Notamacropus eugenii: one gene and its partners. The protein of the gene in region 1 purifies or fractionates together with the protein of each later gene. This does not show direct contact. Links are inferred from orthologs where the notes say so. Each region holds a gene or a part of one and is shown on either strand. Other genes may lie near its edges. The genes, in order: ANAPC1, LATS2 and ANAPC16.

Evidence for each region.
Region 2: the proteins of ANAPC1 (region 1) and LATS2 purify together in Homo sapiens (affinity purification with mass spectrometry; 3 studies listed by BioGRID and IntAct, with this or other methods). This does not show direct contact. The link is inferred for Notamacropus eugenii from reciprocal best matches to the Homo sapiens genes ANAPC1 and LATS2.
Region 3: the proteins of ANAPC1 (region 1) and ANAPC16 purify together in Homo sapiens (co-immunoprecipitation; 5 studies listed by BioGRID and IntAct, with this or other methods). This does not show direct contact. The link is inferred for Notamacropus eugenii from reciprocal best matches to the Homo sapiens genes ANAPC1 and ANAPC16.

Annotation. Positions count from the first base shown.
Region 1 is NC_092872.1:603,643,342-603,647,089, forward strand, and holds the start of ANAPC1 (anaphase-promoting complex subunit 1), read left to right. Parts: upstream 1-820; 5' UTR 821-3,477; intron 3,478-3,748. UniProt on the Homo sapiens protein: Component of the anaphase promoting complex/cyclosome (APC/C), a cell cycle-regulated E3 ubiquitin ligase that controls progression through mitosis and the G1 phase of the cell cycle.
Region 2 is NC_092876.1:188,106,429-188,110,176, reverse strand, and holds the start of LATS2 (serine/threonine-protein kinase LATS2), read left to right. Parts: upstream 1-922; 5' UTR 923-1,206; intron 1,207-3,748. UniProt on the Homo sapiens protein: Negative regulator of YAP1 in the Hippo signaling pathway that plays a pivotal role in organ size control and tumor suppression by restricting proliferation and promoting apoptosis.
Region 3 is NC_092872.1:238,074,788-238,078,535, reverse strand, and holds the start of ANAPC16 (anaphase-promoting complex subunit 16), read left to right. Parts: upstream 1-1,011; 5' UTR 1,012-1,084; coding exon 1,085-1,101; intron 1,102-1,365; coding exon 1,366-1,514; intron 1,515-1,928; coding exon 1,929-2,012; intron 2,013-3,748. UniProt on the Homo sapiens protein: Component of the anaphase promoting complex/cyclosome (APC/C), a cell cycle-regulated E3 ubiquitin ligase that controls progression through mitosis and the G1 phase of the cell cycle.

The DNA of each region.
Region 1 (3,748 bases):
GTAGGAGGAGCTTGCTGAATAGTAGAACAGGAAGGGTGGAGCAGAACTGGGAGGAAGTTGGTGAAAGCAGTTAGAGCAGAATAGAGAGAGAACATAGGCAGTCTTGTGAGTGTTTGCTTGTGGGAAAGCCGCAATGGGGAGGAAGGCTTGGAAATGGCTTTGTCCCCTGTAGTGCTAATGTGTATTGACTTCTTGGTTACTATGATGGATTTGGCTTTCTGGTGTCTGAATAAATCTTTTTCTTTTGCCTTCTATATGGAGAGTCTGTTATACTTTGTGATTCAGAATTATGCTGGCATATTCATCATCTCCCTTGGTCCTATGAATGTTGCCTTGGAGATACAGACCTACATTCTTGGTAATTCTGCCCTTAAAAGGTAATTATAAAGTATGTTTTGTTTATGCCTCCAGTTAGATAGCAAAACTCTGTAAAAATAGGTTGGGGTTGAGTTTCTAGCCTTGTAGTAGGAAAGGTCCCTCTCTCCTGAGTTGCTCCCCTTGCATCCTCATGCTGAGAAAATTAAAAAAAAAAAAAGATTGGAGGAAGGGGGACATGCAGGAAATATCAGAATTAGATCAACCATATGTGTTTATGATTAATAATATATTTTGACAACTCACTTTTTTAACAGAATAAATTTTAGGAACATACTTAGGTGGAAGTAAGACCAGAGTGGGGTGGGCCCCATTCTTTCATTTCTCCCAACTAGCTTGTTTCTCTCAGGGCTCTTGCTATCTGGGCAAGTCCCTATGATAACACAGTCACCCAACTCTCAGGTTGTTCACTTAGATGTCATCTCTCATATTAGGGTAGCTCAACCCCACTCCCCATTTTAAAACCCATTGTTCCATTCTAAAGAATAGAACTACAGATGTCTAGACATCCAAAGATGAAACTGTTCCCATAGTTTGGTTGTTGCCATGGAATGGCTGCTGGCTATCCTTTTTCTCCTCATTCTCCTAGTGCTCCGTGCCCCAAAACTCCTATTGTCAACTTGTGACTTTCTTCCCTATGTCAGAGGGCAGAACTACACATTCTATAAGTTTTTGTGGCCAGTCAACCCTTTCCTAGGAATTGTTAGCTCTATAGGTATACCTCAGAGACCTCCCTCCCCATAACTTAAAGCAAATATCACAATAAAGTGAGTCACACAAGGTTTTTGGTTTTCCAATGCATATAAAAGTTATGTTTACCTTAATGTACTAAGTGTGCAATAATATTATGTCTAAAAAACATGCATGCCTTAATTTAAAAATACTTTATTGTTAAAAAACGCTAACCATCATCTGACTCTTCAGTGAGTCATAATCTTTTTGCCGCTGAAGGGTCCTGCCTTGAGGTTAATGGCTGCTGAAGAGTGGGGTGGCTGTGGCAATTTCTTAAACTAAAACAATGAAGTTGGCCATATTGATTTACTTTTCCTTTCACAGAAGATTTCTCTGTAGCATGTTCTGTTGTTTGATAGCATATTACCCCCAGTAGAACCGCTTTCAAAACTGGAGTCATTCCTTTCAACTGCTACTTTCTCAACTAAGTTTATGTAATATTCTTCAATCTCAGGGAATAGGGAGAAGGGAGAAAGGTCATTGGAGCTGTCAAAACACATACACACAACACTTCAAGATTTATCTGGGTCTGATTTTTGGTGCCTCAAAACAATTACAATGGCAGCATCTAAGATCACTGAATGCAGATCACCAGAACAGTTAACAATAATGAAAAAATTTCAAATATTGTGAGAATTACCAAAATGCGACAGAGAGACACAATATAAGCATATGCTGTTAGAAAAGTGGTACCAATAGATTTGCTGGATACAGGGTTGCCACAAACCTTCAATTTGTAAAACAATTTGTAAAAACAAAAAAAATGTAAAATTAGTAAAAAAAATTTTGTAATTTGTAAAAGCAAAACAAATTAAAAAACCCAAAACAAACAAACAAAAAGCTTGAAATAGTTCATAACAGATATAAGGAATAAAGCTGTACTGGAAAATGTTTTTAACAGCTAATTCTTTTAAAAAAATACTCAGGACACACTTTAAAATTTACTCTCCATGATTAACATTTTCTACAGTCTAGACAACAAAACAATAAATCAAGCTTTGATTTGTAGTTGGCTGATTTCTAGTTCTTTAATCTCTGGAATTAGTTCTTTCAAGACCTTAATCTGAAAGGGCCAGGGTCTCCCATTGCATCCTGGGCCATCTTCAGTCATCCTGATGAATATCTGACCACTAGACCCAGGTGGCTCAGGAGAAGAGAGTGAGGTTGGTGACTGCACAGCCCTCCCTCACTCCAATCAAAGTCAATTGCAAGTCATGTCATCATCCTGACGTCATGGTCCTCTTCCAGAACTAAGCACAAACACAACAAGCTGAGGCACAACAGCCCAGTGCAGAAGGTGATCCCTGAACTGGGTCTTGAAGGAAGCCAGCACTGGGGAGACAAAGAAATAAGTGCAACAGGTCTTACCCTCCAGAAGCTGACATTGTAGGAGAAGAGAGAATGGGTCCACATAGAAGCATATACTAATTAAGTATATAAGGGTAAGAGTAAGGTAATGAGGGGATGGGGGAGGGGACCAGGAAAGACCCTATGGAAAAGACGCTGTTCTTGCTGAACTCTGATGGGGGGAAGGGATTTTAAGAGGCAGAGGGAGGGCATTCCCTGAAAGGGGGAGGGGTGGCACACAGCCTGTGCCAGGGAGGCAGGAGAGGGGCTGTCGGGGTGAGGCCAAGGTTAGACCCAAGAGGGCGAGAACAGTAAAGAGGGTAACCCAATAAACCCGGAAAGGTGAAGTTGGAGCAGTTTAGGAAGGATTTAAGAGCTTAGAAGAAGGTAAGAGATCGGTGCGTTAAGCTAGCACTATTTAAATGAAAACAACCACAAGCCCTCCCTCCTCCCCCAATAAATGTGACGGCCCTGCTTCCCAGCGCGGGGTGGAGTTTCGCTTTCATAATTTTCTTTCAGGGTCGGGGGACCAGGACCAGGACTCCAGCAGCCCGCCAAGGAGCCTCAGCCCCCGCGGCCCAGGTGTGCCGGCTTTGCCCCGCCCTCCTTCTCTCTCATTCGCTGGCGGGCTCCCTCTCGTCCTCTCCCTAGGCGGATCTAGAGGGCTCAAGAAGCGAGGCGGAGCATCCGCATCGGGCCACGCCCCTTCTGGGCGCGGGGCATGACGGGACATCCAAGATGGCCGCGCCCATTTGAACCTCTCGCCCGAGCCGCTCGCGCGCCCGCCAGCTAGATCTTCAGCCCTCCCGACAGTAGAGGCACCGCGTCGCCCTCCCGCCTTCCCCGCCACCGCCACCGCTTCCTCCGCAGCCCGGGAGGGAGAGGAGGGAGGGCATGAGAAGTTGTAGCGGCAGAGGAGTCACCGCCACGCATCGCTCCGCTTGCCCGATCCCGTCTTCGCCCCGGTCCCCGCGTCTCCGGGGAGCAGCAGGGGCAGCGCCCGACGTTTCCTGGGTCACTCAGGTGGGCGCGCCCCCCAGAAGGTGCCGAGGCCAAGCCTCCGCCGGGTCCGGCCTGGATGCTCCCCTGGCGCCTTTCCCTTCCTCCCGGTGCCCTGGGCTCTCCTGTGCGCTCCCGCCAGACTCCTTTCACCCCGACAGCCGCGGCCCCGCCGTTTTCTTGGCTTTGGGGGTGGGGGACACCGGGTCTCTCGGGGCAGAGGCTGCCCAGACTGTCCCGCTTCGCCCCTTGAGGCAGAGAAGGCGCGTGTCGCCGCGTAGGGGGAGCCGGGGCC
Region 2 (3,748 bases), on another chromosome or scaffold:
GGACTGATGATTTCACTGGCATTGGTTTTTGCCCACCTCCACAACGCAGAATGCAACTTCTTTGTAACTCAGTAGACTTTGAAAGTTAACCATGCTCAAAAACTTCATCACTCGGTGACCGAACTCGTGAAGAGCCTCCATAATACTCCGTTGCTTGTTTTAAGGTAGGACTCTCTTAAAGAGAGGCTAAATAACTTGTTGAACTAAACATAATGGAAGATTCAGGAATAGATTCTGGATCTGACTCCCCTCCCAGCTTCTCTGCACAATCGCTTCATTTTCGTTTGCTACAAAGTACACAGCCCCGAAGTGCTAACGCAGCACTGTACAAAGTACACACACACACACACACACACACACACACACACACACACACGTCACTCAATACTGCCAGCAGAAAACACACTGTTTTATGCACTGTACTGCAGTTCAAACAAAATATACGAGGTCAAGTGGGACTGGAGGGAGCTTAAGTTCGGTTTGCAAAGAGACAGCCTTCGTTCTTTGCGCGGTCCGATGGGTCCTTTAAGGAATTAGGAGGGGTCCCCTTGCTTGCGCCATGTTTCTGATGACTGCCAGCTGCTTGGTGACTCGCTTTCCCCTCCAGCCCAGTGGGTCTACGCCTCGGCAGCCCCAGGGAGATCCTTAAAGAAGCCAGCGGCAGCACGGGCCTGTGGGGCTACAAACTTTTCCAAGGGAGAGCTGTGGGGCGGGGGCAGAAGTGCAGAAATAACAGCAACCAAAGCTGGAGAATCCGTCACTGGCCGGGGCCAGAGACGGTGCCCCGGCTGGGTGACGGGGGACTGGGAGGGCGCAGGAGGTAGGAGCAGCGGCCGGACCCACAGCGGCGGCTCCGGCGGCTGCAGGAGCCCCGCCCGGGCTGGTATGCGGGCGGAGAATGACGCGGGAGGCGGGGTCACGTGACGCCCTTGGAATGCCAACAATGTAGCGAATGTCCCACTTGGGTCTGCGCGTTGGAACAGCGGCGTGAGCGCCCGGGGAAGATGGAGCAGCCGCCGCCGCAGCAGCCCCCGCCGCCGCCGCCCGCGACTCCTACGCTGCTGCCGCCTCCGCCCGGGGCACCCACCTCCCTGCGGGGCCAGCAGCGGCCCGAGCCGCCCGTGCCCGGCCGCTCAGCGCGAGAAGCCGCCGAGGCGCCGCTGGTCAGCGGCCCCCGCTGTTCCTAGACCCCACCCGTCTCTGGAAGTGAGTAGGCGCTGGGTGTGGAGTGATTGTGTGTGTGTGTGTGTGTGTGTGTGTGTGTGTGTCTAAGTGTGTAAGAGGGGGGCTGCAGTTATCAAAAGTTTGTCCGGGGGCTGCCAAGCTCAGGGTACTCCCTCTCCTCCTTCCAGTCCCCCACCTTCGCCGCGGGAGGTTCCGGACCGTCCGTCCGCGACGCTCCGCCGCGTGGGGCTGGCTCCGGCCAAGGGCAACGGCGGCCCCCCACTCTGGGGCGGAGAGTAGAGGGACCGAAGGGAAGTTTTCCCCTAGTCCGCCCCAGCTACTTCCCATTGGAGGGAGATAGCACCCACCCGACCCGGTGTCGGGTCGGGTCGGGACGAGGACGGTCCCAGAGCATCCTGGAGGGGGGTGAATTCGCCCGGTGGAGCGATGGCTCAGAGAGCCCATAACTCCGTCTCCGCCGTCCCCGCCGCCTCTACTGCAGCGCAAACTAAGTTTGGGACAAGTTGGCAGGGCACGGGCCGCGGGGACTTTGTCCGGGCGGTGAAGCTCCGGGTGCGCCTCTTTGTTGTGCGTCCCCAGGAATGGCTTTTCTGTGGTGTGTGAAGAAGGGGCAGGGTTACCCTTTTCTACCCAGCTGGCAACTGGAGGAGTCCGGAGACGGTGTCCTCCCTGGGCGGGGGTGGGGGAGATGCCTCTCTCATTCCTTAGAGGCGGAGAGAGCGAGAGGACCCGGGGATGTTGAACTGGGCTTTTCCATCAAAAGGTCCCTTGAGTCTAGACACTCTGATTCTGCTGGGGCGCTGCTGGCCCCGGGGCTCTTGACAACTCGGTTCTGTTTGGCTCAGCTGGGCCAGGCCCGTCCCAGGGGCAGTTGCACGTCACTGGTTGGGATGTCCCACGCAGGCCTCAATACCCTTGGGGCTCAATCCAGGCTCTCTCCCAGGCTTTTTTCTCTGTAAGTTTCCCTTTCTCCTTCATAAGTTTGTCTCGCTGTTTCCAACAAGCTCTTTAAGTTTCGGGAATACTTTCGCCGCGGTAGTTCTGGTGGCAGTTGCATAACATGTCTTCCCTGTGTCCTAGTTTAGCTGACTTTTCTGGGACTTGACTTTCTTAACTTCCTAATGCCACGCGCTCGCACTAACCCGGAGCGTTTATTTCCCCGGACCACCGAGGAAGGTGCTCATTGTGTTGTCTTGACTTTTTTTGTTTGTTTGCATATTACCTATCTACATTACCTGTCTTTGGAAACAAGGAATTTCAATTTTCCTTTTGGGAAAAATGCAGCCTATGGGACCAGATTGGCAGAAGACTGGAGCACTTGGCCGGAAAGCTTTTAATGTTTGATTCTTCCCAAGTTTTCTGTATAGTGTATCAGAATAAAACTACATCTGTATGTCTTGTTGGTATGGAGACGGCATGGTTAGAGTAACCTCCTAGGAGGAAATAGTCCCGACTCACCATGTGACCTTGAGCTGGTAAATACCACCTATATATTCCCTGCGGTGAAGTGAAAGCTAATGCTATTAAAAGCTCTGTCTACAGGATACTTTGTAAGGAAACATCAAGATGTATCTTTAGGAGTTACATTGTGTGAATAAAATAGGTTTTGGATAAGGACAGCAGCTGTTACATTATGGAGGAGGAGAGAAACACATTTAGGGCAAACTTAAAGTCTTCATTTGTAACATATGTGGTGACCTGAGCTTTGTGAACAGCGCTAAGCCAGAGAAGGTAATATTAATAGAGAATGTCAGCAATACATACGATAAGTAAAAATTCAAGTGAAATCTTTTCAGAAATAATTTTTTCATGAATTTGTTTATTTTTAAAGCAAACTTTGTGAATACTTTTAAGGCAGCCAGAATGAAGCAGGAATTCAGTTCCTAATTTCTGTTTGGATCTCAAATAGTCTGCAAATTGTAAAATTTTTGAAATTGGTGGGTAATGTGAAGCAAATAAAGGTGAAAGTAGATAGTTGTTTACTTTCAGAAAGGTTGTACCTAGAAGATTTTGGCCTTTATTTTAGGATAAATATCTGCTGCAGGTTGGATTCCCTAACATCTGCTTGAGAACCATTCATTCTTGGAGTGCTACAAGGAATGAGCTACTTCCGACCTTTTTAGCTTGTTTCACAATGCCTATTGTAATTCAAATGTATCACTAAATTAGAACTTCCAAATTCAGCAGAAATGAACTGTTCAGAAAAGGGTCTTTTAAATTTACATGACAGTTTGAGTTGACCTCATAAAATTTGGTCTAATTAGCTCCAGTTACATAGAGAATTCTGCTTAATGAATATATGTGTATTCCTTTGAAACGAATTCTCTGAGCACTTAATCAGAAGAGTCAAAGTCAGAAACTCAGATAATTTTGAAATTGTGTCTTAGATAATAACTGGTGTGGAAATATTCAGGTTAATTAGTAGGATCTTAGAAACTTAGAGCTAGTAGGGACATTAGAGACATAGAGTGTAAACCACCTCATGTAATTTGAAGTAGTTTTCAACTGATACTAAAACAATACATATTTCTTTCTCTTTTTTACCAAGTCTTTATGAAGCATT
Region 3 (3,748 bases), about 370 Mb from region 1:
CTGTGAACTAGAGGTAATAATTGTATCTACTTTGCTGGGTTGTTGTGAGAACCAGATGAGATACTTGTGAAAAGCACTTAGCCTGGTGCCTAGCACTGTGCACATAGAAGGTACTTTATAAATGCTGGTTTCCTTCCCTTCCTTTTCAACGTTCTTTCAAACTCTGAAACTTAGGATCATATGAATTTCTCCTTATGACTGATTGTCATCAACTTAGTGAGAAGTAAGGAAGGGTTTTGATGTAGGGTATAGTAAGATTGCTAATTCCATTGAGACACTTTTAAGGAGCTCCCGGCTGTACCAGTTTCTCTACAGCCCCTAGCCTACAGACCTGTAACCTTTCTCAGTATCCCTTGCACATATAAACCAGAAACCAGGCTTCTTGTTTTGGACATCAGAGCAGTGAGGAAGCAGAATGGTATCTCAGAGGTGATTGTTGGGCTTTTTTTCCTCATGTGGAAAACCAGAAAGTAGACAGTCTTTTTCAGAAAATAGGCAAACTTCCTACCTTTTCTCCAGGGTTATTTAGATTAAATGCAATTCAGTTCCAGTAGCAAACATTTAGATACCAACTATATGCAACGCACTATGGAAATATGCCTAGCAAAAATTATTTTTTTTACATATACCGTTAGTGAGTAGTGAATTTAAGTAGAAAATTCTCATTGGGAGCCATATTAAACATAACCAGGCTATTGAATTGATGGATTTTAGGGAGTATTTTTAGTTTGGAGACGCCACCAGGTGATGACTTTGAGTACTACATTTGCTTTAAATGTGTGCAAAGCTCAAAAAATGAAAAGTTGTGTTTCAGACTGATTGCCTCACCTCAGGAATGAAACCCAGTGTTCACCTGGGAGGCTAAAGGTTTACTTGGAAGTTCTGATAACATTTGGTTTTGGCACAGAGTGATAAGTGTGTGTCCAGGACAGATTGTTCTTTCTGGCATACTTGCTGTCTCAGTGACATAGTTTGGTTTCTTCTCCAGTCACATTGTTGCATCAGCACTGCCTGCCTTGGCACCTGGGTTATAGCCTATAAACTGTTCACACCTTCTGTCTGGAGCTTCCTTTTAACATCAGTAATGATACTTTTTAAAAGGTGGGAAGTTTTTTTGGGGGGTGGTTGTGTTTTTTTGGTGTAGTGGTGGTTTGTTGTTTTTGTTATTTTTGAGAAAGCCAACTACCAGCAAATTTATTTTCTCTTCCGAACTAGAGTCAGGATTTCACCCAGGACATAAGGAATGGGGAGGTTGTGAGAGATCTGACTGCTGCCCAGAACTGAATTCAGTCTTGTCTGGTTCTGTTTCCATAAACCTGCTAACTGCTGTTGTGTTTTTCTTTTTCTTTTTCTCTCATTGACTAGAAAGAAAATGGCTGCCTCTTCATCCTCGTCCTCAGCTGGAGGGGTCAGTGGAAGTTCTGTAACTGGATCTGGCTTTAGTGTCTCAGACCTTGCCCCACCACGGAAAGCCCTTTTCACCTACCCCAAAGGAGCTGGAGAAATGTTAGAAGGTGAACATACTCTGCTTTTTGCTGAATAATTAGATTCAAATTTATAATAAAATAGTAAAGTATCTATTAAAAGGAATGTAGATAGAAGTATACCAGCCTCAAAACAGAATAACCTCTTTTTCACGTTCCCTGTTTTGTCCCTAATGTCCAAGGAACTCTCTGTCCTCTAGTTAGCAGGTTGTATCTTTTTTTTTTTTTTAGCTTACCATACTAAAGAAAAATAAACCCCATTACCTAGTTTCTAGGAGATGAAAATAATCTTAATATAGACTTAATTATGTATATATAAACTTAATTTTAAAATAGACTAAATGTAAAATTAACATTACTAACTCCACTGCCAGGGCATGTGCTTTGAGTTTTTCCAGTGGTAGAGATGGATTTGCATTGAACCATCCTCACTCTCTCATTCAGACCTCCTTGTGACCAACAACAGACATTTGCAAAACAGCTGGCCAAGGTTAGGGATGCAGTCTGTGGCCATGGAAAAGAGCAAAGGTAACTCTACATATGGGAAAACCAACCCTGGATCTCAGCCTTTTTCGCATAATGCAGTAACCAACTGAGCTAATCCCTTGGGGGTATGGGAACCATTCTGATCACCGCTAACCTCTTGCTTATATATAGGATATTGGCCCTTTATCTCTCTATTTCTAATCTCACCAGTGCATCTGGGCCCCTTGGCAGACCCTTGGAAGTGTTAGTATGTATGAGAGGCAGGCTTTATATAGTCTGTAAAAAAGGGCTCAACTTGGAATCAGAAGACCTCAATTCCCATTCTGATTCTGCTACCTAGTGGCAGTGTGGCTATTCACTCTACCTTTCTTGTCACATTCTCTCCATATGTAAAATGGGGATAATTGTGCTTGTCCTAGCTACGTCTGTAGAGTTGGTATGAGAAAAGTACTTTGTAGACCTTAAAGCACAATGTAAGCAAATGCGTAAGGTTATTATCTGGTGCAGAGTTGTTCCCCCTCCCAAAGCAGTTCATCATCCTTTTGGCTATTACAGCCTTCAGTATTCACATTTATAAACTTATCTGGATATTTCTCTTTGCTTACACACATGAGAAAGGTGAAATCTGCCGCTTGAGGAATCTGCTTGTGGAATCAGTGCTTTTAACCTGGGGAAGCAGAGAGGTAATTTGTGAAAGAAAAATGCAGGAGGGTTAACTGTGAAGCCCATGAAGACTTCTAGACTTGGTTTGTATTATTAATATAGTGGATAACTTAGCAGTATAGTCCAGTGAACAGTCTTTACTAAGCCCCTACTCTGTGCCAGGCACTGCTAAGTTCTGAGAATATAAAGAATGGCAAAAACATGATCCCTGCTCTCAGTGACAGTCCAGTGCAGGGGAGATGACAGGCAAATGAGACATAAGCAGGGTAATTCAGAAATGATCAGCCGAGGGAAGATGCTAGAATTAGGAGGATTGTACAAAGTGAGATTTTAGCTGAAACTTCAGGAGGAGGAGGAGGCATAGATGAGGAAGAAGGAAATTCCAGGGAAAATGCCTGTACAAAGACCAGCTTATGGGGCTGGTTGTCAGAGCATGGAGAAGGAGCCAGGTCATGAAGATCTCTAAATGTCAAGCAGCAGAATTTCTATTTGTTCCGGGATTGTAATTAATAACAGTTCTGATGTGGGCTTCTGTCCTTCTAGTCTTACAGAGATCTGGAGCGAGAAGAAGAGCTGTGTACCAGGATGCACGTGTTAGCACCATTGACCCTGTAGGCAGCTTGGAGCTAGTGTTCTGTTATGTTAAGCACAGTACCCCATATGCTAGTATGAGTTATGTGGAATGAAGGAGTTTGGCCTCAAAACAAATTAAAAATTTAATTGCTCAGTAGCTTCCATGTGGGCAGAAGAGGTTCCATTTAGATTTAGAAATAAGTAAGTCTAATTGGCAGCATTTCATTCTAGCCAAGAAGAGAAAAAAACAATTTTTAATAAAGACAATATCTTCATGTACTTAAGATCATTAGCATCATTTTACCCTCAAGTATTAACAAGAGGAAAGAAAGCCCTCTAAATTGAGTTTAAATGTTGATGCTTTTCTAAGTTATGGTTTCATCAGGGCCTCTCCCATCCCATTACACTTTATAGAAAGGTTTGGTTGTTTTCTAATATAAAATTTATGAGTCTCAGAATTTAAGTAAACTAATTCCATTAAGTTTCCATTCATAGTGTGTTAGTAGTTCATTTTCTTAGTTGTAAAACTTCAGAGAGCAAAC